Arabidopsis thaliana: one gene and its partners. The protein of the gene in region 2 interacts with the protein of the main gene of each other region in a pairwise test. Each region holds a gene or a part of one and is shown on either strand. Other genes may lie near its edges.

Region 1 (8,675 bases), on a different chromosome or scaffold from region 2:
AGTGAGAGAGAGAGAGATGAAATTACATACGCAATTGCTCTGATTTTCACCATTCTCTTCTTCGATTCCTGTTTCCTTCGCTTCTAATTCAACTCTGATTCTTCTTCTTCCTCCTTTGTCTCTCGTTAATGGCGTTACGATATCTTCTCTCAGTCTCCGTCGTCGGAAGTTTTCTACTTTTGTTTGAATTCAAAGGATTCCGGATTTTGTTTACCCTGTCTTCAATGCAATGGTTCATCGGAAGATTTTGCGTTTTCTGGTTCATGATTCATCGGATGATCGGAGGCTTTTGGGTTTATCCGGTTCATGATTCATCGGATGATCGGCGACTTTTGGGTTTCTCCGGTTCATGATTCATCGGATGATCGGAGGCTTTTGGTTTATCAGTCACGGACACGCACACGGGGAAGACGGACATGGCGGTGGACGAAAGAGGCTTGGACTGCAAATCTCATTTTCAGCCCATATAATACTCAGAAGCCCATCAACAAATTGAGGTTCATTTCCTATCCCTTCTTATTTACTTTTTTTTTTTCCTCCCAAAAATCGATTTTCTCACGGATTTTTAATTTGCATAACGATGATATGAAAACTAACTGGATTTTGGATACAGTCTTGATCGTTAGCGATTCCAAATATTCAACTTGTTTTCATATCATTTTTATGTAGATATATTATCCAAGTTTTTTATTCGGATTTTTAAAAGTTTTAAACGTTTTTTTGTTTTGTTTTGTTTTGATACTAAATTTACATAAAGATATATGAAACTAACCGGATTTTGGATCCAGCCTCGGTCGTTAGCGATTCCAAATATTCAACTTGTTTTCATTTTTTTTATGTAGATTTTAGTATCCAAGTTTTTAAGTCAATTTTTCCGGTTTTTTTTTTTAATTATAAATTTACATAAAAATATATGAAACTAACCGGATTTTGGATCCAACCTCGGTCGTTAGCGATTCCAAACATTCAACTTGTTTTCTTATTTTTTATGAAGATTTTAGTATCCAAGTTTTTAAGTCAATTTTTTCGGACTTTTAAAGTTTTTTTTTATTTTTTATTTTGTTTTTATTCTAAATTTACATAAAGATATTTGAAACTAAGCGGATTTTGGATCCAGTCTCGGTTGTTAGCGATTCCAAACATTCAACTTGTTTTCATATCATTTTATGTAAATTTGGATATTCGGATTTTTAAAAGGTTTTTTTTTACACTAAATTTGCATAATGATGTATGAAACTGATCGTATTTTGGAACCAACATTAGTTGTTAGCGATTCCAAACATTCAACTTGTTTTCATATCATCTTTATATAGATTTTTAATATCGAGATTTTTAATTCGAATTTTATATTGCTTTTTCAAAATTTTGATATTTTGTATTTGGATTTTTAAGGTTTATTTTTATTTTTTATTTTCTATCTTTTTATTGTTTTGATATTTAATTTTCATAATATTATATAAAAATTGATAACTAACCGGATTTTGGATCCAGCATTAGTCGTTAGAGATTCCAAATATTCAATATTTTTTATATCATTTTTATGTAGATTTTAAGTATCCAAGTTTTTTATTCGAATTTTGATATTTTCTCTTCAGATTTTTGAAAGTTTTTTTTTCTTTTTGAGATTGTTTTTATAGTTTTTTTTTCTTAGTATTTAATTTACATAATAGTAGTATATGACAGAAAACTAGCCAAGTTTTTAACTGTTTGAGTTTATAAATGTTTTTAGTGATTAGTGTGACTAATTTGATTCAATGGCTAATCAGCAACCACTAACTATCCTATAAAAAGTAAAAACCAACCGGTACATTTGGAAAGCTTCCGAGTTTGGATATAGTCGGTTTAGCAACTAAACTGCCTAATCCGGATTGGCACCTCTAGTTTTTACAGTTTTGGTATGCAACATAACTGGAAGATAAAAAGGATACCAAGTAATTCTTTTTTTTAAGAACTATGTATGATATAGCTTTGTCTTACAAGTTAATGCTTCACTTTCTTTGGTTAAAAAATGTTCCGTATTCTTCAAGGCTTATTCTTGAAGTACAGTTAAAATCAAAATCTGCATTCTACTATATAAGTATGAGGTATGTGTGTCTGCATTTCTTCATCTTTCATGCTTGAGTCTTGATGGATCTGTCATATTGGTCTAGAAGGCTTTAAAGAAAGATCATCGTTTCGTTTACGCTTCATCCTTCTCTTGGATTCGTCTTCTTTTTCATCAAAATAAGCTAGAAATGTCTGCAATGATTTAGAACGTGAACTTTCTGGTGAAGGTACTGTGGCTTCTTCATCATATTTGCCGTGGCGGAAGAAGTCGCGGACTATCTTGAAGAAGTAGATGAAGAGAGCGATAAAACAAGAGATCCCACACACAAGGAATAATCCCCAGAAGCTTCGGAGTTTAAGCTGTTCTGAATCTTCATCTGACACTGAACCGTTGAGGTTACTGCAGTTAGATCTTGAAAGCCACTTGTCATGGATCTTTTGAAGCTGTCCGGTTTCTGATAGACCTAAGATCGCGGTTGACATGTCGATTGCTAATGGAGAGTCTCTTGGAAATGCCTACAAACAAAACCGCAAAAAAGATGATCAAGATTAATGTTCAAACAAACCGCAGAGACAGTTTTAAATGAAGGTACTCACAAATCCCCAGCCACTTCTGGTGAATTCTTGGCCTCTAATGGCAAATCCGCAGAATTCTGAGAGGAAGAGATCAACGTAAGGACGCTCATCAACAATTGCAGCAACAGTTCCGTTTTGAAGAGCTGCAGCGTATTCTTTAGGAGAGCCGAGTGGTACAAGTCTGGATCTGGCAATGTTAAGCTCATCAATCATGTAGTTTTCTGCATAAGAACCTACCTGAAACCCAACTCGTCCACTGCTGCTGATGAGTGTGTCTACTCCTCTGATTGGTGAGTTTAGCTGTTGCACTGTAAGAATCGATGTAAGACTCGCTGTGTAGCTTGATGTTATGATTAGTACCACAAATAGCCAGATGAGCAGAACAGCACGACCGAGTGTACTCACTGTGTTCTCTCCTGCAAGTTTAGTAGCATAAAGATGTTGGAGATATCATCACCTATACAGTAGTAACTTAGCTGCAGTTTTTAGATGTAACTTACTGTGGGAGAAAAACATCGTGGAGAAGCTGAACCTGCATACATAGATCATAGCTTATGAGGTCTTTAGGTATGTTATGTGCCAACATATTGATAAAATGCAACTTCAGTGACTGTTTACTAACCAGAGAATAGTAACAATTTGTTTCCTTGGAGGTCCGCGGAACTCATCGTTGATTCTATGTTCAAGAATCCATATTACTGATCCAACGATGAGGAAAAAAGCTGCTGTAACAGCCCACATTGGAGGTGTAAAAGGGCGTAAAAACGCCCACGGAGTATCATTTAGCTTTGTGACAGGAGCAACCACGACAAGCCCTGATTCTATGTAAGGCTGAGTGAAATCCACAATCCTTGTTCGTTTCGTAACAATAGCTATGTCTCCTACAACAGCATCAAATACCTGAAAGCAGAAATGAACAACTCACAACTATTACAGTCAGTTTCGACAATGCTTTGTAAGAGAAATGATATTTTCTTGATTCTTTTGCTCACCCCAATAGTGACATTGTTGACAAATTCATTGAAGTTTGGGTTCTTGAGACCGTCTCCAAATAGGACGAACTCATGAGGAACCGGATAAGAAATCAGTTTTACCGCAGCTTCAAAGACATCAATGGCATACCCTTGCACTTTGTTGCTTCCATCCAACCTTGACACAAACTCCTTAAAACTTGCTCTATCGGGTACACCGATTCTCAATCGTCTCCCGTTGTTAGGAAAAACCCAACCACGTGGTGTCTCAGAAGTCCCACCAGGCCAAGTCACATTGTTCAGATGTTGGTTTGAGCTCGAACGATTTGAAAGCTTTTTGTATAGTGACTCTGGAGGTATAATAGAGAGCCCGGAATGGTTAGACCAATACCCTATCTGCCTAAACCCGTCATCAACCACGTTTATGATGTCATATGAGGGCTGTATCATTGATCTGTCAGGAAGAAACTGTATTTGACCTGTAACACCAGTCATATTTGTATTCACAATATAATCAAGAAATTGTGATCCTTGGTCAAATATGCTCAATGCACCTAGATTCAGTGACCCTCCTCCCTTCATGCTGGTTAACTTTGGGTCACTAGAGAAGGAAATGTTAGCTCTGCTATCTAGAAGTCTCTTAACAGCTCGAGCAATGATCCAGACAGTATCATAAGCATAGAGACCATAAACGTTTAAACCGACAGTCCCGTTACTCAACTTGTTCCACCGTGCCACGAAATCTTTTTTCTTTTTTGAATTTGGCGTGTGAATACGAAGAGTAAGCACGCCTCTAAGAGATTCAGCAGTCTTGGCAGGTAACGGGTTAACAGAATCTAACAGAGAAGTCAACCAAGTTGTAGCTATCCAAACATAGCCTTTCTCCATCATGCCAAGCTTCTGGGCTTCCTCAAAGATTTTCTTACCTGTTTTAGGGAAAGTGTTCACAATGATTACCCGAGATTCCATCCCTTGAATCTTAACCAACTCATTTATAATCTCACGAGGACTCGTAATCACCACATCCAAAGGAAGCACAGCCTTGTATGAAATCTTGCAGCGCCTTCCTTCGAGCTCATCGCCTAAAGCTGTTATACCGTTTCTACTGTTGTCATCATCATTATACAATGCAATCACCTCTGACCAACCGTAGTAACTTATCATTTCCGCAATGGCACGCATCAGAAAGAGATCACTAGGTGCTGTCTGGACAAAGAACGGGAACTGAAGCGCCGAGAGACTAGGGTCTAAAGCTGTGAATGACAACATAGGCACACTAAGCTCATTTGCAAGATGAGACAGTACATGAGCCATTATTGATGTCTGAGGACCAATGATAGCCACAGCATCAGTCTCCATGAATTGCAAAGCTGTGAAATAAAACCAACACAAAGGATAAGTAAAAGTTTAGTTCCAAAACAAGAATCAACGAAACAAGATCATATCTTTTTTTCACCTCCCATGATGGTGAGGAATCCATTACGCTTTGCATCATACGTCGTTATACGCAATTTTGATCCACCAAGGAAGCTAGGATCAGAATTTACATCTTCCTCTGCAGCTTTCATAGCAATATTTGTAACTTCACCCTGTAAAGTCCCTAAACTGAATATTGCTCCAACATCAACATAACGAGGCCTTAAACCAGCTCCCTCTGAAATCATCCCATCACCAATAAGAACAATGAAGCTCAACAGAACCAAAACCCAAAACATAGCTTTGGCTTAATCAGTTCCTGAAACACCAAGTTTGATAAACAAACAACAATTAGATAAAATTCCCAAAAACTTTAAGAATCACAAAATGAGAGATTGTGAGCCACTTCACCAAATCAAAATGGGATTTTTTTAAAAAGAGTAACATAGGAAGAGAAAGCTAGAAACTTCTAATGAAACAAAAAGAATAAGGAAGATAAGCAAAGAAAGTGACTTTAACCAGAACTGAAAAAGTGTCACGAGGATTAAACCCTTACCTCAAACATAGAGAACAAGGATTGTCAAGAAATGAGTGGCAGAGATGCCAAAACCCAAACCCAAACCAAAATCATCCTTTAAAGAAAAGCAGATTCGTCAGGCACATGAAAAATCTAGCTGAAAGAAAGCATGAGGAACAAGCAAGAGGAGTACACATATAAAAACCTGAAAAAAGGAAGGAGTAGGTCTTCAATAAACAAAAAGGAGGTAAACTGACAAAAGTAAAATCATGGGTTTGCTTGAAGATTTAGGAAAGTGGTAAGCTTTTTGGTGGGATTTGATTACTTCCAATCAGAATTCATGCACTAGTCACATTTACAGGCTAAGAAAAAAAGAGTTAGAGAAGGAAATTGGATAGACTAACCATAATTGTCGACATAGATAATGAGCCATTATCGATTGAAAAATGTGAACTTCTTAACTTGTAAGTTTTGTTTCCAGTGAAAAATGAAAACTTTTTGTTTTGTTTGCAAGTGACGAAGTGACCCTTTTGGTTCCCAGCCAAAGTAAAGAAGATGATGATGAGAAACATATTATTCCTTACTATAATCTATAATGGTAGTCTATAATCTTTTATTGGCTAGTGAAATCATTAACCCAAAAAAAGAGATAATTAACCAAATCATCTTTGGGACCATTAATCGTTTGCGTCATGGAGTTGTATGATTATACTTTTGATTATTGAATCAGTATTTTATAATTATATATTATACTTGTATTTGGATTCCGTTATACCTTGATCCAATGACTGTTTTAAATTTATTTTATTGTTTCATTTTCTTTTTTGAAAAGTAATAGTATTATATTTTGTGGTCTTTCATGCGACAATGAGAAAGTCTGGATATTTCGAATATTATTTGGTTCAGGTATTTAAAACATCTTCCCATGTTCCACATATGACATAACTCCAAAAATGAATGTATGTTGTTGGACCATTCTTTTATTTGTAACCTTTTTTTACCCCAAACCAATAAAAATTACAGATGCTTATGGCATTTTCTGATTTTGTTGTCCTATATAGGCAACCTTAAACCTTCTTACCAAAAAAGAGAGACAAGTTTACTTATACCAAAAACAATTCTTGTTATTATTTAAATGTTTCAGGAAGATAAGAAAACGCACGATAAAGAAAATCTAACGGATATAGAAACAAAAATAATAATCTAGGAAACAAATCGTAATCAAATGTCCAATTTCAATAGTGTGAATCATGGGATGGGAGAGTGGCGATTTTATTTCTGTGGAAGTGTGGAACCTCCACCGAAATTGAGTAATGGAAGCTCAAACTCCACTAAAATCTTTACTTTTTCCAAATCTTCCAATTGGCTTTGGAATTTTGTTGGCTTTGGAATTTTGTTGCTTCAATATTCTTGCATAGGCTTAGAATTTAATAATAGACGCAAGATTTATAAGGCCTATCAGAAATAATGGACTCTAGTATTATAAGGCCCATAAGAAATAATGAACTCTAGTATTATAAGGCCCATCAAAGATAAACTTGGGCCAACAAATAATAAGCAGCAAAACTGATACATAAAAAACGTGGTGGTTTCAAACTGCAAAGAGATAAGTCTCTTCCTTACATAGTAAACCGCTCTGTTCCTCAACTGAAGTTAACTGTCTCCCTGTTCCTCCATAACTTCTTTCCCACGTAACCTCTCCTTCTTCTTCTACTTAAGCAACCCTTTCTCTAACTTCTACTCTTTTTTTTCCCACTTTTCTTCCATCACTTCCTCTACGTGCTCACAATGAACAACAATCATTCCTATGATGATCGCAGTTTTCACATTCCACTTCATCCTTCTAACACAAGCAACCCTAATCCAAATCTCCAGTTTGCTTTATCTTCAAGCTACGATCACAGTCCTAAGAAGAAACGCACCAAAACCGTTGCTTCATCCTCTAGTTCTTCACCAAAATCCGCGTCAAAACCAAAATACACCAAAAAACCAGACCCAAATGCCCCCAAAATCACACGTCCATGTACTGAATGTGGCAGAAAGTTTTGGTCTTGGAAGGCTCTCTTTGGTCACATGAGATGTCACCCTGAGCGTCAATGGCGTGGCATTAATCCTCCTCCTAACTACCGTGTGCCCACCGCGGCTTCTTCAAAACAGTTAAACCAGATATTACCAAATTGGGTCTCATTTATGTCCGAGGAAGACCATGAAGTCGCTTCTTGTCTCTTAATGCTGTCTAATGGTACACCATCATCATCGAGTATTGAACGGTTCGAGTGTGGAGGATGTAAGAAAGTGTTTGGATCACATCAGGCTTTAGGAGGACACAGAGCGAGTCATAAAAACGTTAAAGGCTGTTTCGCTATCACAAACGTAACCGATGATCCTATGACGGTTTCTACTTCTAGTGGGCATGATCATCAGGGAAAAATCCTTACGTTTTCAGGGCATCATAAGTGTAATATCTGTTTTAGAGTGTTCTCGAGTGGTCAAGCTTTAGGAGGTCACATGAGATGTCATTGGGAAAAGGAGGAGGAGCCGATGATCAGTGGTGCTTTGGATTTGAATGTTCCTCCAACAATACAGGATCTTTCTACTTCGGACACATCAGGGTGTTGTTTAGATCTTAGGTTAGGACTCTAATTAGTATCTATATATATATATAATGTCTGTAGGTATATTGGATGTTTCCTTCTAATTAATAGGTCAATGTACATGTTGTGATTTGATGATAAGTATAACGTATGTAGGATATTCTGCTATATATATGCTTAATAAAGAAAAATATTTAGTTTTGTGCTTTCGAAATGCACTGATTTTCTGGTATATTAATTAATTTTGAATCAGATCAGAAAAGAAAAGAAAAAAACACTTGAATCAAGAAAGAAAACAAAACTTGTGTTGTACCAAAATGTAAAAGAAAGTTTCAAACGTATATCCAACCAAATACTAGAGAACAGAATTGATCTCTTAAAACATGAAATTCATAAGCAGATATTGAGCCGTTTTGTAAAATTTAAGCCAACTAAGAAAAGGGAAAACATTTTAATTTCACGGAAGCTTAATTAGTATTATTCTTGCCAAATTTCGTTGTTTGACTTGATCTCAAACTCACCACGATCTCCAAGACTCCAACCATTCTATTTTTA
Region 2 (8,627 bases):
ATATAATAAGAGGTCCGTTTGAATCTTCCAAACTACAAAACCGACTCTGGTTCTCTAGAGAGACCGCACCGGATACTTTTCAGAAAACATAAGAAAAACAAAAAAAGTTTTGATACGAGTTTTATTGCATACTTCAATAGTTTCTTAAGAACATAACAAGTTATCAAACTATTTTCATTGCTAGATGTTCGATCAAACCGCGGTGACTGCGATTTTCATATCGCTTTCGCAATGGTTTGGAAAATTGCAGATGAAAAAGTTTTGTCCTTTAGACAAAGTTATACGATCTTTGCCTGAAGTGTAAGGTTTTGCCCCTGTCGGTGTTTTGCAGTTGTTGTAACTTCCGCTATCTACCTTCACTACGTTGTGCATCCTCGGATTATAGTTAAACACTGCACCAAAGTTTTGGAAAATATAAAATTTTAAGTTAATCATATAATTTTTTTTTTTTGGTCTAACGTTAAATTAGTTAATCATATAATTGATTACTCGACCACTCTTAATTGATTCCATATATTGACACTCAGATTATAAAGTAGCTGGAACTGTTTAGGAATTTCATAAATCTACATACTATAACGTTGGTTGAGATATTTCTTCATGCGAAAACAATTTTAATTCATCACTCAAGTATACCAAAATAAATTAAAAATTAGGTTAGTGGTACTATTTATGATATTTTAAAATATTTTTTGTTAAATTTAAACGCACATGAATTTTTGCTATACACATAAATCAGCGTTTGTGAATAATCGAAACTAGAAAAAAAATTTTGGAGAAGGAAGATGTATACATACATATCTATAATATAGTAAAATATATCACAGGCTCAATCATGTAAAAGATATACACTATTTAAACTGTGTATGCAAAACATTTATCAATCATATTTGTAACCTTTAAACTATAGGAAGTTTTTTATTTGTCGTGTGCTTTATACAAAAGCACATCTTGCCCATACTTAGAAGCAGCCATGATATGGATACATCCCTAGTGGATATGAAGATTAGAAAGCTTAACTGCTTGTGGTTTAAGTGTAACAAGATAGTATAATAATTACTGAAGCTTGATTAAAAGGATGTGAAGTATATACCAAGAACGTCGCCGGCTCTAAAGTGTTTGCCTTTAGGCCAACCCACAGCGTTAAAGGTCCAGATACCAGAGTCACCGACCGTGTACGTTGCAGCTTGAACGTAGTCAGCTTGAAGCAACAACACTGACACAGCCATGAGAGTCACTATGGCTCGAGCCGACCATGATGCACTGCCTCTTCCCTTGGCCATTGATCGATCTTAGGTGAAAGTTTAGAGAAAGAGAGAGAAACTATAGAGAGTAAATGAGGATGAATTGAAGAGTAAATGTACAAAGGGTTTTTAAAGAAGAAGAAAATAAGACATTCAATGTTTTTATTTTATTAAATTGGGTGTCTCAACAACCCATGATATATGTTCATTTATTATTTTTGGCCACATTGTCTATGTAGAAATTGATTATAGACTTAACTTCGGTTTCTTTTGTCTCATTATTGAAGATAAGAGTTTGGTTTTGACATTGTTACACTAAGTTGAATTTTGTTTCTTTGTTTTGAAAATGCTTATATCAACTAAATAAGGAACTTGTGGACAAAGACTATGTCATCAACAACCCACGATATATGAGCATTTATTATTTATGGACACATTGTTTCTATTGGAGATATAGTTTGGTTATGATTTTAGTACATAGTTTATAGGCGAAAATAGGTTTGAATTTGTGTTCTTATTGAAATGCTTTGTTATATTAGTATGGTAATGTTGGGAAAACGTACACATCATAGGTTAAAGAACCAACAGTATTGTGTTATTAGATTGGACTATTGAGTTTGGAATATGTTGCTTCAAGTTTCTATTTGTGAGGAAAGGAACACACAAATATAAAGTGATTCAAAATAACGAAGATATATTCTACGTGAGAAGAGAGGTACTGTAAATTTAGAGTCACATTGCTGTGTATAACATATAAGAAAACTAGATGTACAAAACCTACTTACATATACGCCGAGAGGAGAACGTGGTCAAAAAGAATCGGGTAGATCTAACTGTGAATTTTATGTCTGTGGTATAAAGATTTTAGCCGATGTGGAAACCGGTGGACTTGAAAGAACTCGATAGCGTGGGAAGCCTTTGCAATGCAATAACTCCAGCAGCGAAAGCAGCAACAGACGCCAAAACAAACGCCGGTAAGTTTCCTCCTCCAAACAATTGATCCCATGGACCCGCTCCAAGTGATACTATCATCTGTTTAGAGCCAAAACCATATTCAGACACTATTTACGGGTCAAGACTACACTCGAAGTGAGTGGCATTATACAAGAGAATGAAATTTATCAGTGTAATTAGATTTGAGAGATTGCCTGGGGAATAACGATTGCGAGATTCAACACTCCTATAGCCAAACCTGGAGTGAGGAAATGAAACCATTAGGGATTACTGAAATCTAAGATTTAAGTACAAAAACTATGAATATAGTGAAGATATGAATCTTTTCACAGACCTTGACCGCCACCGGAATCAGCAGTGACTTCTGCTGTGACAGAGAAAGGGACACTGTATGTGATCTGCATTAAAGAATGGTTTTATCACATATTTTAGAGAAATGTTGCAACACGAAAAGAATAAAGAGAATTACGGTTGAAAGAAAGCACATACAGCTAGGGGAAAACCAAGGAGTGCAAAAACGATTACGGCTGCGGTTCTTGTTGTTTCGTTTCCACGCATTATGTATTCAATTCCATTTTTGTCATCACTGAGAGACATCAAGCTGATTACAGCTGTTCCCGCCATGCAGGCAAATACAGTAAAATTGCTCAAAGCCCATACAACCCGAGCACCCATCCGCTGACACATTGGTTCAATGAGAAATGAGCTGATCCCAAGAACAACCTACGGAAACAGGGAAGAAGAATATTCAATAACGGGCGAGTAATTGAATTTTGAAGAGCAGTGCAGTTAAAAAACAGGTTATTATAACGATTCTTACAGAGTTTAGTAGCAAACCAAGTGCACCTTCACGTACACCTTGATCATAGAGTTCCATATGCAAACTATCTCCTGTTGGATCCCCATGGTAAACTTCTCTTCCCATCCAATCTGTATCGAACAGAAAGAAGGGGAACCAGGATAACTGCAAAGAACAAGACCACAATCAAAAATATAACAGAAGCAAATAATTTTAAAGATCATTAAAGAGTTTAAGAAAAGAAACAGTGTGAAATATGTAATAACTGATCATAATTTTTCTTTGGCACTCACCCATGTAAGAGCCATGACGATAAGAACTGAGTGCATAGCCGGTGGCAAATGCCTTAAACTAGTTAGCAAATTCACTAAAACAGATCCAGGGCCATCAACGTAGGTCTCATCTTGATGCTCATTCTCTGAATTGCCAAACTGTTCATCCGTATCACGTTCCACTCTCTCATACTTGATTCCATTGGCAGTACCATTATTTAATTTTGAATGCTCAAGGCCTTTGGACTGGAGATCATCCAACAAAGGTGCAGAATCTTGTATGCGGGTGGGCTTGTTGCTTGTAAAAGGAATCTCTTTAGCAAAATAGATTGTGACAAGAGTACATATAGTGAGAAAGACCTGAAAAAATGATTTAAACTCTTAAAACATATAGAACAATATATTCAGATTTTAGACTATGAAACAAGAACAAAAGCCACTGGGTGCAATAATATAATTTCACTTTCAAAATCACCTCAAAAATAATATAGACATACAAACAGAACGCATTGATTTGCGACATATATGAATCACAAGTCACAATGTACAAACGTGAGAGTGTTTCGTAAAGACCAGCCCATTCCATTGCAATTTAGAAAGCTTAGTAAGATGCATGTGTCAGAAAATTAAACATACTGCTTACCACTGCAAGAAGAAACGCTGCTTTGAGATTTCCACATGCAGCACAACATGCTCTACTAGTTAAAAAAGGGAACCATCTGCGCAGTAAAATTGCCTGATCATTTAACAGCTGGCGGAAAATGCAAAATTGCAAATGAGGAAAAAGAATACAAGATTTTGAGAATAAGGATCTCAAAGATTACTCTTGCCATTTTCCGCTAGCACCGGCAGAAAACCCAAGGATGTTCCCAATAGCCATCCACAAGCAGAACACAGCATTTGCAGTATTCCGCTGATCAGGACCTAGGGACAGCAAGAGACATCTCATTAGAAGCACAGCATATTCAATCTGATTCTAGAGTTTGAATAGAAATTCTGTTCTGTTAAGTGTATGGTTATATTCCATTATTACCTGATAGATCAGCTAGAAGAGCACGAGCAGGTCCCTGAAAATAAAAAAGCCGAAAACATCATTCCTGGATACAGAGGTAATGACTAGTACCATTCACTCAAGTACATTGCAGAGGCAGATCTGAACCTGTACTGTATTGTTTGCTAGATCCAACAACCAAAACCCAATGATAAAGACAACAGCTGCCCTGGTTCGTGTGCCTTTGAAAGTACTGCATTTCAAGATACACATCAAGTCGTCAGTTACTTTAATTTTGATACATTCCATAAAAAACATGCCATTGGCAGGGGAGCAGGAGAGTTACCTGCAATGTTCCTTTGAATCTCCTAACAGATACCCAATGTCTGCAGAAAATCCGATTATTATCACCTAAATTGCAAGCTTTTGTTTAGCTTATATAAAACACAATGTAGCCAGCTATCTCCTAAAAGAAAATCAAAACAGAAATCATATCTTCTATTGGCACTTACTGCTATTGAGATCATGAATGATCCAACTAGAATAAATGGTCGTCTTCTTCCATACTTTGAAGTACATTTATCACTCCAAATGCCAACAAAAGGCTGGACCTAAAACCCAACAAACAAATAAGTATGAACAAAATGGGGCAGAAAAATAGTTTCTGATCCAATATAAATCAAAACTTGAACTCTCGTGAGATCATTACGTGCAAGATAGTAAAACTGCTAAAATTCTTAAAGAAACTTTTAACCTACCACAAGGCCTGTAATTGGGCCGCACAGCCAAATAAACGAAGAAAAAGCATGCGATATTCCAAGGGTCTGCATCAACCAACCAAATGCAACACTGTTAGATAAAACTCAAAAGGGTTCTTCAGCAACAAGAAAATCAAAATACTTCCAGCAAACAGATATTTAACAATAGTTCTATCTACCACCATAACTACCCACCTGATACATATATGACCAGTACAATACTATTCTAAACACAGTCTAATCTCTGATTATACAATAGTTCCGAAAAAGGCTAAGGTCTTTTATATTTTTACAAATGCTTATGTAATCCAATGAACATAAACAATCTAGCTAAATTCCAATGTCATATACTCTTCGATAAGCCAATGCTATAGAGTTCCATACGAAAATATCTCATGGCTATGTTGGTGACAACAACTACCTAACCTAAGTATTAGAATTCATTGATTCACCTACAAAGTACTCGACTTTCTCGTACAAAGCTACACAAGAACAAAACCCTCGAATCTAAATTGCTATAGAGAAAGCCACAAGTGATAGAAATGGTAACAATGACAAGAGTAATAGTAAGTACCTGAATATAAGGAGTAAGAAGAGAAAGTTGCAATGCCCAACCAAATTGAACTCCAGCGGCAACTGTACAACTAAGAACCAACGTCACTAAACTACAATTCTTCGACACAGATTCACCATCAGCCGAATCAGAATGATTCGAAGGAGAAGCAGATTCAGAGAACGACGAAGAACCAGATTCGTTTTGACGATGCTTGGTGACCGTCTCAAGTTCAATTTCCTTCCTCAAATTCCTATACGGAACCGAGATCGACACCGAGTCACTCATCGTCCTCAACACACAGATCCCTAATTCGTATCAAAATCAATTTCTCATTCCGATTTAGATTTCTAGGGTTTTGATCTCGTCGATCTAGATTCGGAGACGATGATCGGAGAGTCAAATTCGGGCGGGTGAATATTTTGATGAAATCGATTTTTTTGAGGTGATTGAGAGAGAAGACGCGGAAGTGAAGAAGGAAGGAAGATTCGTTTTACAGGGAACCGTTGATTTGTAGATTAACGGATGAGATTAAAACCTAACTTAATAGTCAACGTTTTCGTCTCGGGCTTTGTGTAATCAGCACCGTTGGATTTGATCGGATCAAAACCGTTGCTTCAATTTAAAGGAAGAGCGGACGAAACTCACCGTCACCGACACCAAACAAAAAGTGTGTGCTTTTAAAAAAGTAAAACGGTGTCGTTTGATAAGAGTTGAGAGTGGGCCTGTAGTTTTTTGTAGCTCGGCCCATTTTTGTAAGAAATTCACAACTGTGGTACATTTAGCCCAAATATTAAGTCTATTAGAAGAAAGCTGTCTCATTTTTTGTTAGCATACACACCTAAAACCTATAAAACATGTGTCAAGATTATATGATTCATAGCTATGTCCCTTCTTCTATTTTCTGATGCCTTACACTGCGAACACTGTGATTAGTGATTACATTGGTTCAAGTTTGACTTCATGAAATATGTTTGGTTCAAGTTTGCTTCTAATGCTACCATTCAAATCCAAACTCTCACAATTGCATATTATTAAAGAAAAAAGGATAAGACGTCTCAAAGAAATTTTTTTATATAAAATCATATAGGGTATGTTCTTATTAACGTATATATGAACATGTGTTACTAATTTAAAAACAAAATCATTTTGTAAATTTGTGTTTTACAACAAATATTTTGTGGGAGATTTTAGGTGCTAGCAATAATAAGTAATGTTAATTAAGAGAGTTATAAACATTTTTTCACTATTTAATAGTGTTTTTTTCTTCTTACCAATGTCACTATTTACAAGTATATGTATTTTCTAATAACTAATGTAAACATGTTTGTAAAAAGATTATATAACATATATGTGTGTGATTGTGAAGGTGATAGAGTTCTTCTTACCAATGTCACTATTACAAGTATATGTATTTTCTAATAACTAATGTAAACATGTTTGTAAAAAGATGATATAACATATATGTGTGTTAACGTGATAGAGCCGGATTAAACGAATAAAAGGAAGAAAGTTAGAAATAAAAAGGAGGAAAAAGGAAAAAGACGTGTGCCTAACAAATGTATCATGTATTGGTACAAAAATGCAAAGATGATACATAATTATTAATATTATTCTTGCTTGTGGAAAATGAAAGCTAATAGGGCACACAATTGAATTAATACTTACGTCTCTCTTTCTCCATCTCTTCCCTTGTCCCTCTCTTCTCCTTTCCTTATCCACGTGTACATGACTCTTATGTCCCATCTTTTTTTTCTTTTTCTTATCATCAAAAGTTCAAAAACAAATCCTTTTGAGTTTAGTTGTTATGGTGTGCATGCATGTATGATGTATCCGAACCAAAGTATAGTCGAAAATCCAAATTTTGTATTCTTTAATGGTTAATGGTTAATTGAGAAGTTATAGCCGAGTCTCATACACTTGTTGTCCATCAAAACTGATACCATTCTCAATAGTATTTGAACCAGAAAACCACTATTACTCACTTTTGTAAAAGAACTATACATACGCGCCGTTAGACCAAATATCACTTATTACAAAACAAATTTTTTATCTATACCATGTTATAATTTTACATAAGAAAAAATAAAATAAAAAATCGGATTATTCCATTCAAAAAAGCATTTACATAAAATTCAAGCCTATATAGGCAATTTGGTAGCATTGACTCGGTTTCTCCACAAAAAAATGAACCTTATTACACCTTTGGTTTTATCTTATTTGAGATTGATGATTTGATCATGTGCCAATTTTTATTTTTATTTTGTTATAAAAAAGATCAAGGTTAATAAGTTGATTGAAAAACAGTAATAAGTTTTTTTAGTTTAATCATGTAATTACATTTGACAAAAAGCACGTGTTGAACGCGGCTATGACCCAAATAAAAGAGAAAAAAACATATGTACCATAACTTAACACGTCATCTCCTTAACGTCGAGCACGTCAAATGCTTACGCCTGAAAATAACTCCTTCGTCATTTCTCAAACGACAAATTCAAATATTAATAATATAAAAACTATATGTTTAAAAAAAAAAAAAGAGATGCGTTATTACAATAAATTTAATTTTCTAACTTAGTGATTGGTTGGCAATTTTGTCGTTCTCTGTCGATAGATCATAATTTATAATGTGATATTTACATATATACATAAGAATGGGGCTTACACTGTTTCACATAATAACTCCATTAAAGTTGATAAAGAAAAATTATAATGGTCATTAATCATTATTGAGAATGTAACCATCGATATTGAAAGATAGAAATGTGGAAAGAACGTGAAGAAATAAAAAAGAATCACGTCACGTGGAGACAGCTCTTTTACGAACTCTTATATCCACTCACTTCATTAAATCATTTAAAAAGTGGACTATTTTTTAAAAAAGCAACAATGGTTTGTGCATATATTTGTAATGGTTTTTTTTCTAAAATCTTTGTGTCATTTAATTGTCCCAACAAAACCAATACATCATCTTGCTTTTTTTTGGGTCCGATTTGTGCATATATAGAGTGTTCATATAGAACGGAGTATATGCGAAACCTTAACTCGACTAATTA
Region 3 (5,965 bases), on a different chromosome or scaffold from region 2:
CAAAGAACACATCAAAATCATTTCGAGAAGGTGTTAAAATCGGATCAGAGGGTCTAAAAACGATCGGAAAATCATTCACATCAGGTGTAACAAGAGCTGTTTTCCCTGAAGATCTAAGAGTCTCCGAGAAGAAAATCTTTGATCCTCAAGACAAAACACTTTTATTATGGAACAGAATGTTTGTTATCTCTTGCATTCTTGCTGTCTCTGTTGATCCTCTGTTCTTCTATCTCCCTATTGTCGATAACTCAAAGAACTGCATTGGGATTGACTCTAAATTAGCTGTGACAACTACTACTCTAAGAACGATCATCGATGTTTTTTATCTTACACGAATGGCTCTTCAGTTCCGTACCGCTTACATTGCTCCTTCTTCTCGTGTGTTTGGAAGAGGTGAGCTTGTGATCGACCCTGCAAAGATCGCTGAACGGTATTTGACTCGTTATTTCATTGTCGATTTCCTCGCGGTTCTTCCTTTACCTCAGGTAGTTAATAAAACGCTTCAATCTTTTTTGTTTTGTGCATTGTTTTCAATTGAATAGATGATTCTTGGTGGTGTTGATGCAGATTGCTGTGTGGAAGTTTCTTCACGGATCTAAAGGAACAGATGTATTACCAACAAAACAGGCGCTATTACACATTGTCATCACACAGTACATACCAAGATTCGTTAGGTTTATTCCATTAACTTCAGAGCTCAAGAAAACAGCAGGAGCTTTCGCTGAAGGTGCTTGGGCTGGTGCTGCTTATTACCTCCTCTGGTATATGCTTGCAAGTCACGTAAGCATTTCAAAATTCATCCATCAGCACTAGGTTAAATATCTATTGTTTTTTTTTTTGGTTCTGTTTTTAAGAAATGTTGTTATACTTTGATAGATAACTGGAGCGTTCTGGTACATGTTGTCAGTGGAACGTAACGATACATGCTTGAGATCCGCTTGTAAAGTCCAGCCTGATCCCAAGGTCTGTGTTCAGATTCTTTATTGTGGCAGCAAATTAATGAGCAGTCGCGAAACCGACTGGATCAAATCAGTCCCTGATCTTTTTAAGAACAATTGTTCTGCTAAAAGCGATGAGTCTAAATTCAACTACGGGATCTATAGCCAGGCTGTGTCTTCCGGTATTGTATCTTCGACAACGTTTTTCTCCAAGTTTTGTTATTGTCTATGGTGGGGTCTCCAAAATCTCAGGTACCTTCCTTGGAAAATCGATGAATAGCTGTTAGACTGTGGTGCAATTTTATTGACTTGGGTGTTTTCTTGTATAGCACGTTAGGTCAAGGGCTGCAAACAAGTACATATCCAGGAGAAGTTTTGTTTTCAATTGCAATTGCTGTAGCTGGACTTCTTTTGTTTGCTCTTCTCATTGGGAATATGCAAACTTATCTTCAGTCACTTACGGTTCGCTTAGAGGAAATGAGGATTAAAAGACGTGATTCCGAACAGTGGATGCATCACAGGTCACTTCCACAAAACCTGAGGGAACGAGTCAGACGTTATGATCAATACAAATGGTTGGAAACAAGAGGAGTCGACGAAGAAAACATAGTCCAGAGTTTACCAAAAGATCTTAGAAGAGACATCAAACGCCATCTCTGTCTAAATTTAGTTCGCAGGGTAAGTTTTCAGAAATGTGAATTGCCTAAAGATCCTACACTTCATTCACAAGGAACAATGTTCTTTCTTTTTTTTGCAGGTTCCTCTGTTTGCTAATATGGATGAGAGATTACTAGACGCAATATGTGAGAGACTAAAGCCAAGTCTATACACAGAGAGCACTTACATAGTGCGAGAAGGAGACCCGGTTAACGAAATGCTCTTCATAATCCGAGGCCGGTTAGAGAGTGTAACAACAGATGGTGGAAGAAGCGGTTTCTTTAACAGAGGTTTATTGAAAGAAGGTGACTTTTGTGGTGAAGAGCTTCTGACTTGGGCACTTGACCCTAAAGCAGGCTCAAACTTACCTTCTTCCACACGAACAGTGAAGGCTCTAACTGAAGTAGAGGCTTTCGCTTTAGAAGCGGAAGAGCTCAAGTTTGTGGCTAGTCAGTTCAGGCGTCTTCACAGTCGTCAGGTTCAACAAACTTTCAGGTTTTACTCTCAACAATGGAGGACTTGGGCTGCTTGTTTCATCCAAGCCGCTTGGCGTAGACATTTAAGAAGGAAAATCGCAGAGCTTAGACGTAAAGAAGAAGAAGAAGAAGAAATGGATTATGAAGATGATGAATATTATGATGATAATATGGGTGGTATGGTTACAAGGAGTGATAGTTCTGTTGGATCAAGTTCTACATTACGTTCCACGGTATTTGCATCAAGATTTGCTGCTAACGCGCTTAAGGGTCATAAACTAAGGGTCACCGAGAGTTCAAAGAGTTTAATGAATTTAACAAAGCCATCAGAACCTGACTTTGAGGCTCTTGATACAGATGACTTGAACTAAGTACTTATAGATTGCACACTTCCAAACATTTTCATTGTAAAACATACAAATTTACATCTATAACCAAAGCTGTTACACACTTACACTTACACAAGATAAACACCTAGAATATATGATTAGATATACACACAAAAAATCAAGGGAAATAAAAAAACTTTCTTTAGAGATTCAAGAATCCAAACCTAATAAGCCATACGATTGTCTTTGTGAAGCCTAAAGAAATAAGCTGCAGCGCTTAAGACGGCAGTAACCAAGGCAACACCTTTGAAGGCATCAAACTCATCATCCATGAAATTGAAGAAGATCACCACAAGAACCGACACAATCGGCCACGTAATGACACTGATCACATTCGACAACACGCTCGAAACAGAGTAGACAAGTCCAACAATCCCAACCCAATAGACCTGCCACGAAACAGCTTGACCAACCATAGCCATCACATAAGAACCTTTCCCTTTCGAGAATCCATTCATTTCCCTCTTCAAATCGTGTTGCTCACCGGCTATAAGCAGACCCACGACGGAGATGATCGTAGCAACGAGAGAAGAGAAGATAATAACTTCGAAAACAGAGGCAAAGCTTGGTTTTTGATTGGTTGATTCAGTTCGTTTGAAGATGTAACTGTCGAAGACGTTTTGGATGTTACAGAGAAGAAGAGCGAAACAGATTCCAGCGAACAGAGCAGCCCATGAGCCTCTAGCGTAATTCTCCTCTGCTTCATCAGGCTCACCACCGAATGAAGAAGACAGAGTAAGAGCTCCGGTGATGATAGCTAAGATCACAGAGATAACAACCCATCGATTGAATTTGATTTTGTTAATGAAAGCTGCGAAGATAGGAGTGAAGAAGAGCTGTGCTGTGTAGATCAGAGTGAAAACACCAAATGGGATCTCGAGTTTTCCCATGGCTGCGAGTCTTCCTTGAACGGACATGATAATTCCGATGCAAATGTAGATCACAGCTAAGGATTTTAAGTGGATTGAATCGGAAGTGATCGGAGGTTGTTGATGGTGGTTGCGTTTGTTCTTGGTGATGAAGATGAGGAACGGGAGAAGAAGGAGAGGGAAACCAACAGTTTGGAGAAGAGATTGAGTCCAAACGCCATCGTTTTGACGGTTTTCGTTGTATTCGCTTCGGTTGGTTTTGTCGTAGTAGAAGTTTTCGAGGAGTTTCGCTATGGATTGACCGATGATGACGAAGATGATTGAGATGGTGATGGTTGGCCAGTGGTTTGGTTTCCGGATTGTGTTTCCGGTTTGGTTCATGCGTGTGGTTGAAGAATCACGCTCGATGTTGATAGGTATTTGCACAAATTGTTCTGCAAAAAGAAACAGAGGAAATTAGAATCAAATTGTTTTGTAAGAAGAGGAGATCAAGAAACGAGAGATCTGGTTTGTTGATTCTTATTATTACCTGGAGGTTTGGTCTGGAAAATAGGTTGTTGATTCTGAGCCATGGATTGGAACTGATTGTCGGAGATTCTGAGCGGATTTGAGTTCAATGTATGTCGGCGATTAGATTTGGTAATATGTGATATTTGGAGTGGATGATGTTGTGGGATAAAGGAAAGAGAAGGGTTTATTATATATGGGCACGAAAAGTCTACCCTGGCGGCGTAATGGTCAATCAAGCGAGCCTCATGTCTACGCGTCGTCGTTTTCAACTTGTTCCGGGTTGTTTCGTCATCCAAAAAAGTGTGTAAACAACACTTAGAAGTAACTTATTCTTGTCTTTACAAAATCCAAGCAATAATCGACAAAAGATGATGAGAAATATTTGAGGTTTTGAATCTTGATTGTTTTCTATCAACGAATATTCCGAATTGGATTTATGGTTCGAAGGTTATATAAGGAAATGGTATAGTTAAGTTTAAGTTATATTGACTTTGTTTGTTTTGGGGGTTTGACCTTTGGGATTATCCAACATCCTACGTTTCGGAAATTTTGAACTAACACGATGCCCACTTGGCAGCTCACTACTTGTAATATGATACTCTCTTAAATGCGTGTCTTCTTATGACTTCATCTTAGAATATCATACTTCATGTAAGGATTTTGGTATATGACATTTTATAATGCTCAAGATATAATCCCAAAGGTGCAAGATTAGAATGAACTTGAACTTCGAATCAAATTGTTTGCAATAACTAAACAAATTTTGAACTCAGATTCAATGTTGTTCAACGTAACATTGATCATTTTTCAACCAAATGAGCTTCGAAAGTTTGGATTTTACAAAATAAGAGATTAAGGGTAACAAACAAAGGCAATTTCCTTGGTGCTCATTTGACACATTTTACTTAAGAATCATACAAAATCTCTATGTACACAATTGCCTCGTTTGACTATATAAACGTCCTCACACTGTTTCCACGACGCTATACCCATTATGACCCATAGGCATACATGCTCTCAAATATACACTGGACCCGTAATTAAAATAACATTTTAATACTTAACAAATTAGCATGTCTTGACCAAGAGACTGAAGCAGCCAAAGTTGTCCAGAGCAATAGCTCAAGTAGGCATAACCTATTACTGTGTTAATAGATTCACAAAGGCAAAACAACTATTACTAAACCTTCATGGATTACTCATCTATATAAGTTCTAGACATGTGTTTTGAATTCCCCGGTTCATCATCGGTACAATAGTTTCAGAACTAAAACGCTATGGGGCATTGAATTTGAAACTGTGATCACGCAAACTTCTTAAATAGAACACCCATTAGAACACCCATATGACCCATAGGCATAAAAGCTATCAACTACACTGGACCCATAATTAAAGAACACAGCATATCACCAAATCAACTTGAGGCAGCCTAGCCACAGTTGTCCAGCTTAAGTAGGCATAATCTGTCATGTGTTAATTGAATTCACACAGACAAAGCAACTATTACTAACCTTCATGGATTATACATTTCGGCATATCATCATCTATACCAGTTTTAGACTTTTGTTATAGTTTCAGTACTAAAACGCTATGGGGCAATGAAACTCTGATCAACAAAATTTCTTTAGATAGCATTTCCACAGGCTTTTCAATGAACATGCCACAACTCGAGAAGTGAGGATTTGGTATTAAAAGCCTTAACTTGCATCACTACATTATTCTATGATAATAGAGCCAATAAAGTAAAACCATTCTGTTTGACCAATCCAGTCATATGATCCGATGATCATAGAGGCAACCAATGATTTGGCATTGCAACACCGATTAAGGAAACTTCTTTAGAAATACCTTTCAATGAAAATGCCAACTCAACAAGCATGGATTTAGTACTAAGAACCTTACTTGTATCACTACATTATTCCTTAATCACAAAGGCAATAAAGTAAAACCCAATTCTTAATCAATCCAGCTAAATTTTCCTATGGTCATAGAAACAAAGAAGGATTTGGCATTGAAACTCCAATTAAGCAAAATTTCTTTAGAGAGCATTTCGACAGGCTTTCAATGACAATGCCAACTTGAGACGCAAAGATTTTGTATTAAGAACGATACTTGCATAGTTGCAT
Region 4 (9,282 bases), on a different chromosome or scaffold from region 2:
TCTTACGCTTAATTTCTCCTCTCTTTATATATTAATTTTCCAAAAATCTTCTAATAAACAAAAAGAAATCTTGCTGATTATAAACAGAGGAGAGGACAAGATAGATAAAATAGAGAGAGAAAATAGATAGAGAAAAACAGAGTTTACACGTGGGGTTCAAGCACTTATTGACTTGCACAAGTGGCCAGTGGCCTTGCTCTAGATCTTTTTTTCCTAACAATTATAAAAATATTTGAATCATAAGAATAAACCATCATAATGTACTTAGCCAGATATGACAAAATCCTCAGTGCCAAAAATTTAAAACTACACATAATTTAAATGTGAGTTTCCATTAATTCTGAGCATATTGTAGAATAGGGAACTGAATGATTCTATTAGATAGGTTAAGTACAATATAGATTACAAGAGAGATTAAATGACAGTCCTAGCCTTTACATATCTATACTCTACACATATTACCCAAACCAAATACTCTAAAGAGCGATCAGTTTAATTACAAAAGTAAAATAATCGAGTGGGATTCTTTTTTGAATCATGGATATCGGTTCGGTTCAAATATTACCCAAAAACCGATTAGGTAAACAAGCTTTTCAAATTCTTTGACATATACATTAGCTTTTGGGTTAGTTTGTCCAACTTCCGGTTTTTGTGAGAAGTTTGTCCAATTTTCCTCTTGTCAAGACAATGAATGATCAATGTACACTTCCTCTTCTTTGGAGGAGAGAACTCTTCCTTCAAACTCCTTCTCCATGAGAGGTATCATTCCGGATTCAATTTCGAAGAATATTTCATCATCCTAAGTACTGTTCTACAATTTTGTGTAAAGGTCTTTACAAGACCGGAAGTTATGACGAAGCTTATCTCAATGAGAATTGAGGTTTTGGATTATGGTAAAAGTCACAATGTAAGGTGACTATGTCAAAGTCGTATGTTTTCATCGACATCTCTTTCGATGCTAATTCAAACTTGTATCAGTTTGATTATATATCCTTTTATGATTATGCTAGCTTTGTTTTGAAATCGTTTGGCATGCTTGACTTGTCCGATACGTCTGATCGTTGCTCTATCCTTCATTTGTTGTCTTAAACTAGGATAAATAAACCACTGATTTGCGAAGGAAAAAAATGTAAAATATTATTAATATCAATATGCAAATAATGTTACAAAATACATTTATTATTTGCAATGCGACTGACAACAGAAAATAAATTTTATCTTTTTACCAAACAAAATTAATAGTATATTACAATATAAATGTGCATTTAGGATGTCCCCGTAAGCGAAGCTTGTAATTCTTCCAATGATTGTCCTTTGGTTTCCGGTACGAGCATCCAAATAAAAATGAATGACATTCCTCCGACAGCCGCAAATATGTAAAATGTTCCTATTTAATTATTATATATACCATAAACAATATGTAAATGACCTACTTGAATTTAAAAGTATATTTAACAATATATACCTAAAAATAAAAAATAAATAAACAAAAACTCAATCATCCAATCTAAACAAGAAAACAAAAGCTAAAAGTATTTGAAGAAAACGTGAATCTAAGAGATATTTTCCGACCGCACATTTTGCACATCTAAAACTGTTTGATACAAATGTCAAAATTCGAACACGATTTTTAAATAACTTTATGTTTGATTTGTGTATTTTTATAAAGATAACTCTTAACTTTTTTTGGTAAATTGTTTTATCCAAATTAATAAAAAAGTAATAGAGAAAATAAAGACCTTGTGCGCTCCATTCAAACATAAAGTTGAAAGCGTAACTCACGAACCACCCACTAGTCCATGATGTTAATGCTACAATTGTTCCTGCTGAAACTTTTATATTTATCGGAAAGATCTGCAACAACAACAACAACAACAGCAAAAAACACAGTAAACTTTTTTTTTTCTTTCATAACGTCTAACTATATGATTTATATAAATTAAAATATGTTATTTACCTCAGACATAATGACCCAAGGTAGCCCTCCTATACCGAATGCAAAACATCCGAAGTAGACCTAACCAAATTTAATTTAAGATTTCTTATAACAAGTTAATACCAAAAATTTAAAATAAAAATAAAAATTTGCATGAAAAAATGAATAAATCCTTGAAAGAAAATGAAAGATTTTACCAGAATGTTTACGAAGACGAAAATTGGGATCAATTCAGGAAGCACATTCATTTGCTGTCTCAGAAACAAACAAAAAAAAAAACATATTATAAGACGAGGATTGTTTTGTCCAAAAAAAAAAGAGGCGAGGATTGTAATATTGATAGTTATCTCATATTAGTCCAATATAGAAATTCTACAAGAGTAACCTGTAACGTGAAGCTAACTCCAATAAGCAAGGATCCGATGGACATTCCAACAGCAGAAGCCTAGAATAATGTTTATCAAGATAATGTTAATAATTATTATACTGTTATATTGTTATGTCTATATATAAACTGTATTTTTCTAACCAATAGGAGTGGTCGTCTTCCCCATCTATCCACAAGAATCAGACCAACCAAAGCTTTTGGGATCTACAAAGAGTAAAAAATAATCATAATGGTATAATCGAAATAGCTTTGAGAAATTTAATATCGTAAAAAAAAAATCAATTAGTTTAAGGTACGCACCACGAACACACCAAATATCATTGATCCAAGTCTCTCTGAAAAGCCTGTTTAAACGACGAAAATACAGATAACATAAATAATAGGTAGTATTAAATAACTCCTACGAGTATTATTTATATGAAAGCAAAATAAATTCATAAATAATAATAGTAAGACTATGAATATCCTAACCAGCTTTTCTAAATATGGCATTTGAATAATATGTGATACCGCTAGCTCCAGATAATTGTTGTATCAACATTAAACCAATTCCAACCTGTAAATTCAAAACAAATCATTACTTTCATCACTGTAAAATCAGAAGTAAATAATTAGCCTTTTCACTAAATTCCTTCCTAGTTCCTAACTTCCTATATATGTTACCGTACCACAAGAGTTCGTCTGTACTTCTTCTGAAACATGTCAGAGAAACTAGACTTTGAATCTTCTTCAAGCATTTTTGTCATAACCTGAAAAAGTAAAACAAGCATATAACTACAATTACATATAGAGAAAGTGTCCTAATAACTTAACAAAAGAAAGAAAGAATATTAATAGTAATAATACAGTAATATATACTAATAGAGAGTGATTTCTTTTAAACATATATACCTGAATTTCAGCTGCTTCACCTGAAACATCAGTATCTTTCCCTCTAAGTCGATGCAAAGAACTTTCTACTTCTTTACTTAAACGGATTTTAGCCTGATAAAAACAACAACAACAAAAAATATATATAAATGACTGAAGTAAAACGTTTACATATTTATGTCGAATTCATAGTCGAAATGATTAAAAGGAAATGCCAACCAGCCATCTTGGAGATTCCGGTATAAAAAATATACCGATCGTTTGAAGGATGCATGGAATTGCACCTGAACCAGAAAATAAAATTGAAACTGATCAACAAAATTCACTTGTTGATATTGAAATAATATTGTAAACGAGGTATTTCGTTACCTATAACGGCCATAACCCGCCAATTAATTACAGTCCCAAAAAAATAAATCAGGGAAACTCCACTGTTTTGAAGAAGCTATAAAACCAAAAAACATTGGGTTGTTACAATAGAAAAAAAATATATAAGGCAATAAGGGTAACAGATTTGAATAACTTCTTAGAGAAATAAAATAAAAGAATAGACTTTATAAAAATAAAAAATAAAAAGAGTATAATAGAGTTTACCTGGTTTGAAGCAGTAAATGCGCCACGAACATGTTTTGGAGTGATTTCCGCAATATAGACTGGGACCTTTTATGAATATAAAAATGTTGGTTTTAAGAAATGTGAACTAAAACAATAAAAATGTAGATGAGATTACCAAATGTAATTGGTGTAAATATTTGTTCAATTACCACGTAGCTAATCAAGCCGACTCCTATGCCCAAGGAAATTCTTCCCAAGTCCAGCCAGAAGACATTCTTTTTGTTTCCACATTTATTCAAATATATATATTAGATATTTCTACGAGCAAAATTATTTTAATCGAAAAATAATTTAGGATTTCTGTGGATTTACACCTTTGCGAAAGCAATGGAGAGCCAGCCAAAAACGCAGAAAAAATCGCATGCCCACAACGTCTTTAATCGTTAATAACCACCCAAAAAAAAAAGATATATATCAATCAGAATCTACGAAAATCATTGCAAAGAAACAAGTATTAAAAATAAACAAGTGCATAATTTGATGTACTAATTACTAGTAGTATGATTTAAGAAATATGGTAAAATGGCAATTACTCGTCTTCTGCCGAGGATGACTGCCAATTGACCGCTGAACAAGGCCCCCACCGCACCTCCCACATTCAGAAAGGAGCCAAACGCTGAAAACTGATTTAGAAAATGTGATTTAGTTATTGAGAAAAATTAGCCTTAAAATACTTATCGATTACATAAAATGGTGGAAAAAAGTTAGCAGTAAGTTGTGTGGTAAAGAGTTACTAATCACAAATACTTAATTTTTAAGAATTAAATACCTCAACTTTTTTTCAAAAATTCCAACAGTAGTACTTAAAAAGCTTTTGTAAACATTTCTAAGTACTTCGTATACTATTTGATTATTATAAAATTAATTCAAATTAAAATGCTATGCTGTTTGCTAACTTTTTTTTGTTAGGTAAGTAAATCGTGTGATCTTTTGATTAGTTTACCTATCATATTAAAATTTGTCAGAAGAACTATATTCGATAACTGAAATAATTATTAATATAATTGAAAATACAGCTATATACAACATTTTAATATTGCTCATGTTCAAATATGACATACGGTGTCGGCGTCACATATGCATGAATGCATCTCTGATCTCTCCAAGTACAAAACAGCTATCATATCGCATTTTCATAATATTCACTTTTGTTTTTTTAAAAATATAATACTTTATATATGGGAAAATATTCATTTTCCAATATTAAAATACGTATCTCTCTAATATTCACATACGCATCTCTCAGAACGTCTGTACATGTGGTCTCTCAATATAGTTAACTTTGGACCGCAATAAAATAAATAATTCGTAAGATAATATTTATTATAGAATAATAGTAATAAATAATAATAATTCACTTTCAGTAGCGAAGCTATAATTTATCAATGACGTCTTTACACGTAATTGCGTATGATTATCCATTTGATTTTCTTCATAACCGACCTGGTTAGGTCTGATAGTTTAGTAATCCATACAAGAAGATTTACAAGCAGCTGATGTTTTAGTTCATAAACAGGTGTAATTATGCATTTTAAGCATAATTAATTAGGGATTAATTGAGTATTTATAGTGATAAAAGCTAAGAAATGAAAAAAAAACAAATTACATACTTGTGCCATAGAAAGGTCTAACTCCTTCATGATAGCAGTCTCAGCGCCTGAAGTATAACCAGCCTATCAAATCCAAGAAATTATAATGATTATTGTTCGAATAATTAAGAAGAAATTAAGAGATTAAGACTAAAGTAAGAAGTTTTAGAAACTGACGGCACATCCGTAGCTGAAGGCACTACAAACAGCGACAAAAGTGCTGAGGATGACACAAGCTGTGATACGACGATCATCTCTGTCGTTTTGATGCTGAAGAAGTCCTTCCTCCATGCTTCTATTCTCCTCCTCCACCACCATTCCTAAAGACTAATCCTTCAATCCACCTTATTTTCTCCCAAGAAATCTTCTTTAACAGAAAAAAAAAAACACAAGAAATCTTCTTGATTAATTGATATAACAAACAGAGGAGAGAGAGATAGAGAGCGAGAGAAAGAGAGAAAGAGAGAATCAGAGAGAGTTTACTTGTGGGGTTGAAGCACTTCATCATTTCCACAAGTTGGTTTGTTATAGAATACGATTTCGTTTTTTTATTTTATTTTAAATAAACAAATATTATCATTTAATCATTTCGAGTTTCGTTTGTCGCTTTGCATTAAGATAATAATGCCAACTTTGAATGCATCCTAGTGAATATAGCTCATTATCTGTCCTCAATACAAGTTGTACGTTCTTTTCTTTTTGTTCCAAATAGTTCTTATGTTAGAGAAAAATTAATATTTAGATAAGATTATGTGTTTATAAAATATAAAAGACAAAAATCAAACATAAAATAAACATTACCAGTGATAAAAATCACAGAAACTTTATAATTTTTCTACAAAAAACTGATTAACCAGACTCAGAATTAAATTGACCAAAATCAAAGGAAATATTCCGTTGAAGCGTATCCAAATAACTCTAGTCCAACGTGTTACATATTGCCAACATAAATATGACTAAACTACATCACCATGTTTTTATAATGTTTTACCAAATAAATTAAAAAATATGGGCTTCAATAATTGACCTACATATTCGTTGGGCGCATCTACCAACGAATTTACAATTCTGTTTTAAATCTTTTACAGTTCGATCGAGCTGTTTTAATTTATTAAATTTACAGTTCTGTTATAAATTATTTTTACTCAAATCAAGAAAGCCTAAATTAATTTTTAATGGGTGTTTTATCTAAAACCTCTGTGAGAATTTTGTTTACAAAATTTTATATTTATGGTTGACCAAAATGACCGTTGGAGTACTTAGCTACCGTTCGTTAAATAAATTTACAGTTCTCTTTTTACTTTCTTTTTACTCAAATCATTTAACAAAATTTATTCACAAAGGCCATAATAAATTAATAATATTTTAGCGGGTATTGTTCACTAAAGTTTGACAATTTGATATAGTATTTTGGTCATACGCAAGTCTTAATCAAAGTATAGTATTTTTGCCAAAAATAAAAAATTATCAGGAAGACTCGGGAAGATTGAGTAAATTTCTCCATCCTATTTCAAAAGTCGTATTATTTTAAAAACAAAACATGTATATAAACATTTTAATTAGGTGATTCTCAAATTCAATTATTTTCTAAAATTAAGACGGAAATACTTTAAGGAAAAAATGTGGATCAAGTTGTTTTTACCCTAAGCAACTAATGCTAGACAAAAACAGAAATTGGCCACCTAATGGTCTCAATATTGTTTTTTATTACTGTTCAACTGATTTTAAAGAAAAAAAACTAACGTTCAACCATAATCATCGTTTCATTTGTAATACGAGGTAAAGTATTATACATACCTAAAGTCTGTAAAACAAAGGATATTTGTACCTTTTTGTAAAAGAATATTGAAAAAACTGTACCTACATCTGTTTTTAAACAAAGAATGGTTTATAAATGAATAATATATGTTAATGTTTTGTTTATATTATCGGTGAAGACTATATAAATGGGAGTTTGTTGAGAATCGAAGACTATAAAGTTTTAAACGGGAGTTGTGTTAACTAACTCACTTAATAACAAGTAAAGTCAAGCATAGCATAGTGTAACGTGTTTCCAACATAATGATGATGGTTATGATAATTTATTTTGCGTCATATGGTTTTGTATCGTCACGATCGTTGACAATTACATGGATTTGTTTGGGAGATGGGGTGGGGTTAATTAGCATGAATGATTACTGAATTATTAAAGCATGGTGGACAAGTGAGTAAATAAGACCCCATCCTTCTCATATTTTAATCTACCCAATTTGGATGCCCATCCCATGTCTTATCACACGTTTTTTTTTTCTCGTTGGTAATCATTCTCAGTAGCTAAGTTTTTGTCAATACAATATGATAACGAATTGGCAATCGATATCTTCATCAGACACTATCCTTATTACTGCATAGTGTTGATGGGATTGTCCATTTCTTCTGTACCGCCCATACACATTTCGTTGTAATATTGGTTCCTTTTGCGGTTTTTCATGATCGTTAAGCGGGTCCAATTCAGTAGAAAAACTAGGTTTTGTTGTATCCACTATGAATCTTCTCTTGCAGGACCACTTCTGAAAAAATAAATTTACGTTCCATAATTAAGAAGAATATATACAAATTTATAAATAGAAAATATTAAGCATATGGTTTAACCCTTTAGGCTTGGTCATGAACGTAATATTTCTTTGAAATTAGAAAATGGTCTGAAAGGAATCAAGACTGAGAAGGACAAGAAACGTAGACATTTCCACTATCTAAAAACTTGAAGGTTATCAAAATTTATTGTTATTATTTTTCTTGTTATAGGTTGTTGATTTCTTTCAAACGCAACTTTTTTTATATATACCATATTTTTATGGAACAAGACATGTAAGATATTTTGGTAAGCCTAATATATCCCTTTTCTAGAGCACGTACGTAGTAGTGACATGTCTAATGATATTTCTTACAAACGGTACTTTGACTAATTAATCAATCGAAAAATATCTCACTTGTTTCTTGAAAATCTTTTTGTAAAATCATTAGAGACTTTATTTGTATATATCACACACTGAATATATATATATATATATATATATATGTATATTTATGTAGTTTAAATTTTGAGTATGGTAGTGTCTAAAAAGACCGAGATTTTTTTTTTCTTTTTTTTTTTCCCAAAATGTACATTTGGTCTTTCAAAAAAAAAAAATAATAATACCAAAATTTCAGTATATAACAATTTAATCTGTAATTATTTAATGGAGTAATTGATAAGTGATGACTTACTGATTATGAGATTGTGGTGGTCTGTAAAATTAGTCCATATATATTGTAAATTTGTAATGTTTGAATAGCGAACTGTAGTTGAATGTGAGTAAGATCCATAGTACTCAGAGCATAATCATCATTCGACCAAAACTAAAGATTCAGTCAAATTTGTGTTGTATTTATAATAGGCACTATTAATATACACCAAATTGTTATTATGAGGTTACATTTATTTGGGCCTACTAAAATCCAAATAAAGCCCAACAGATTTTGAGAAACTATAAATGAGCTGACATTTGTTTTTTCTTTCATTTATTTTACATGGGCTCATCATCTTGGACTACAAATCTGTTACCGGGCTAACTTCTTTGGCCCATATGAGTGGAACATAAGAGATACGATTCTGTGTTTTTTTTGTCGGCTACGTTTCTGATTTAACATTTCGTTTTTTTTTGGTATTTAACATTTCGTTTGTTGACCGATTAACAAAATAATATTGTTTTTCCATTAACTTCTTTAAATGCAAATAATAATTCGTCAATTAAGAATTATTTAAACAAAAGAGAGATGGTGGTTTGCCACGTTAAAATTTAAACCTAATCCAAATTGACCTTTTAATCTCTGTTTTATTTAAAAAAACATATAATTGTTCTCTA

The links.
Region 1: the proteins of SUT2 (region 2) and GLUR2 interact in a protein complementation assay, tested with the Arabidopsis thaliana proteins (one large-scale study listed by BioGRID).
Region 3: the proteins of SUT2 (region 2) and PUP14 interact in a protein complementation assay, tested with the Arabidopsis thaliana proteins (one large-scale study listed by BioGRID).
Region 4: the proteins of SUT2 (region 2) and AT3G05165 interact in a protein complementation assay, tested with the Arabidopsis thaliana proteins (one large-scale study listed by BioGRID).

The regions. Positions count from the first base shown.
Region 1 is NC_003075.7:16,786,923-16,795,597, reverse strand, and holds GLUR2 (glutamate receptor 2), read right to left. Parts: upstream 6,068-8,675; 5' UTR 5,566-6,067; intron 5,329-5,565; 5' UTR 5,309-5,328; coding exon 5,050-5,308; intron 4,964-5,049; coding exon 3,615-4,963; intron 3,523-3,614; coding exon 3,245-3,522; intron 3,155-3,244; coding exon 3,123-3,154; intron 3,039-3,122; coding exon 2,644-3,038; coding exon of another isoform or gene 2,626-2,643; exon of another isoform or gene 2,615-2,625; intron 2,563-2,614; coding exon 2,137-2,562; 3' UTR 1,913-2,136; downstream 1-1,912. Other genes in the region: AT4G35295 (homoserine kinase, putative / HSK), read right to left, coding at 215-265; DAZ2 (C2H2-like zinc finger protein), read left to right, coding at 7,315-8,169. UniProt on the Arabidopsis thaliana protein: Glutamate-gated receptor that probably acts as a non-selective cation channel. May be involved in light-signal transduction and calcium homeostasis via the regulation of calcium influx into cells. Could play a role in calcium unloading from the xylem vessels.
Region 2 is NC_003071.7:826,438-835,064, forward strand, and holds SUT2 (sucrose transporter 2), read right to left. Parts: upstream 6,183-8,627; 5' UTR 5,860-6,182; coding exon 5,593-5,859; intron 5,085-5,592; coding exon 5,019-5,084; intron 4,872-5,018; coding exon 4,773-4,871; intron 4,672-4,772; coding exon 4,607-4,671; intron 4,514-4,606; coding exon 4,429-4,513; intron 4,337-4,428; coding exon 4,303-4,336; intron 4,194-4,302; coding exon 4,094-4,193; intron 3,989-4,093; coding exon 3,913-3,988; intron 3,630-3,912; coding exon 3,291-3,629; intron 3,163-3,290; coding exon 3,019-3,162; intron 2,922-3,018; coding exon 2,688-2,921; intron 2,597-2,687; coding exon 2,533-2,596; intron 2,437-2,532; coding exon 2,393-2,436; intron 2,277-2,392; coding exon 2,109-2,276; 3' UTR 1,842-2,108; downstream 1-1,841. Other genes in the region: ARPN (plantacyanin), read right to left, coding at 193-392, 1,094-1,283. UniProt on the Arabidopsis thaliana protein: Responsible for the transport of sucrose into the cell, with the concomitant uptake of protons (symport system). Can also transport maltose at a lesser rate. May also transport biotin.
Region 3 is NC_003070.9:6,830,362-6,836,326, reverse strand, and holds PUP14 (purine permease 14), read right to left. Parts: upstream 4,003-5,965; 5' UTR 3,902-4,002; coding exon 3,859-3,901; intron 3,764-3,858; coding exon 2,625-3,763; 3' UTR 2,490-2,624; downstream 1-2,489. Other genes in the region: CNGC8 (cyclic nucleotide gated channel 8), read left to right, coding at 1-485, 568-780, 877-1,190, 1,268-1,616, 1,696-2,442. UniProt on the Arabidopsis thaliana protein: Purine permease implicated in ATP-dependent cytokinin translocation that controls the spatiotemporal landscape of cytokinin signaling. Depletes ligands from the apoplast, which leads to a suppression of the cytokinin response.
Region 4 is NC_003074.8:1,457,022-1,466,303, forward strand, and holds AT3G05165 (Major facilitator superfamily protein), read right to left. Parts: upstream 5,897-9,282; 5' UTR 5,717-5,896; coding exon 5,576-5,716; intron 5,483-5,575; coding exon 5,420-5,482; intron 4,433-5,419; coding exon 4,343-4,432; intron 4,184-4,342; coding exon 4,124-4,183; intron 4,025-4,123; coding exon 3,959-4,024; intron 3,855-3,958; coding exon 3,789-3,854; intron 3,640-3,788; coding exon 3,564-3,639; intron 3,479-3,563; coding exon 3,414-3,478; intron 3,309-3,413; coding exon 3,216-3,308; intron 3,074-3,215; coding exon 2,993-3,073; intron 2,881-2,992; coding exon 2,796-2,880; intron 2,669-2,795; coding exon 2,625-2,668; intron 2,529-2,624; coding exon 2,466-2,528; intron 2,382-2,465; coding exon 2,322-2,381; intron 2,188-2,321; coding exon 2,134-2,187; intron 2,018-2,133; coding exon 1,958-2,017; intron 1,855-1,957; coding exon 1,495-1,854; 3' UTR 1,388-1,494; coding exon of another isoform or gene 1,266-1,387; 3' UTR 1,115-1,265; downstream 1-1,114. UniProt on the Arabidopsis thaliana protein: Sugar transporter.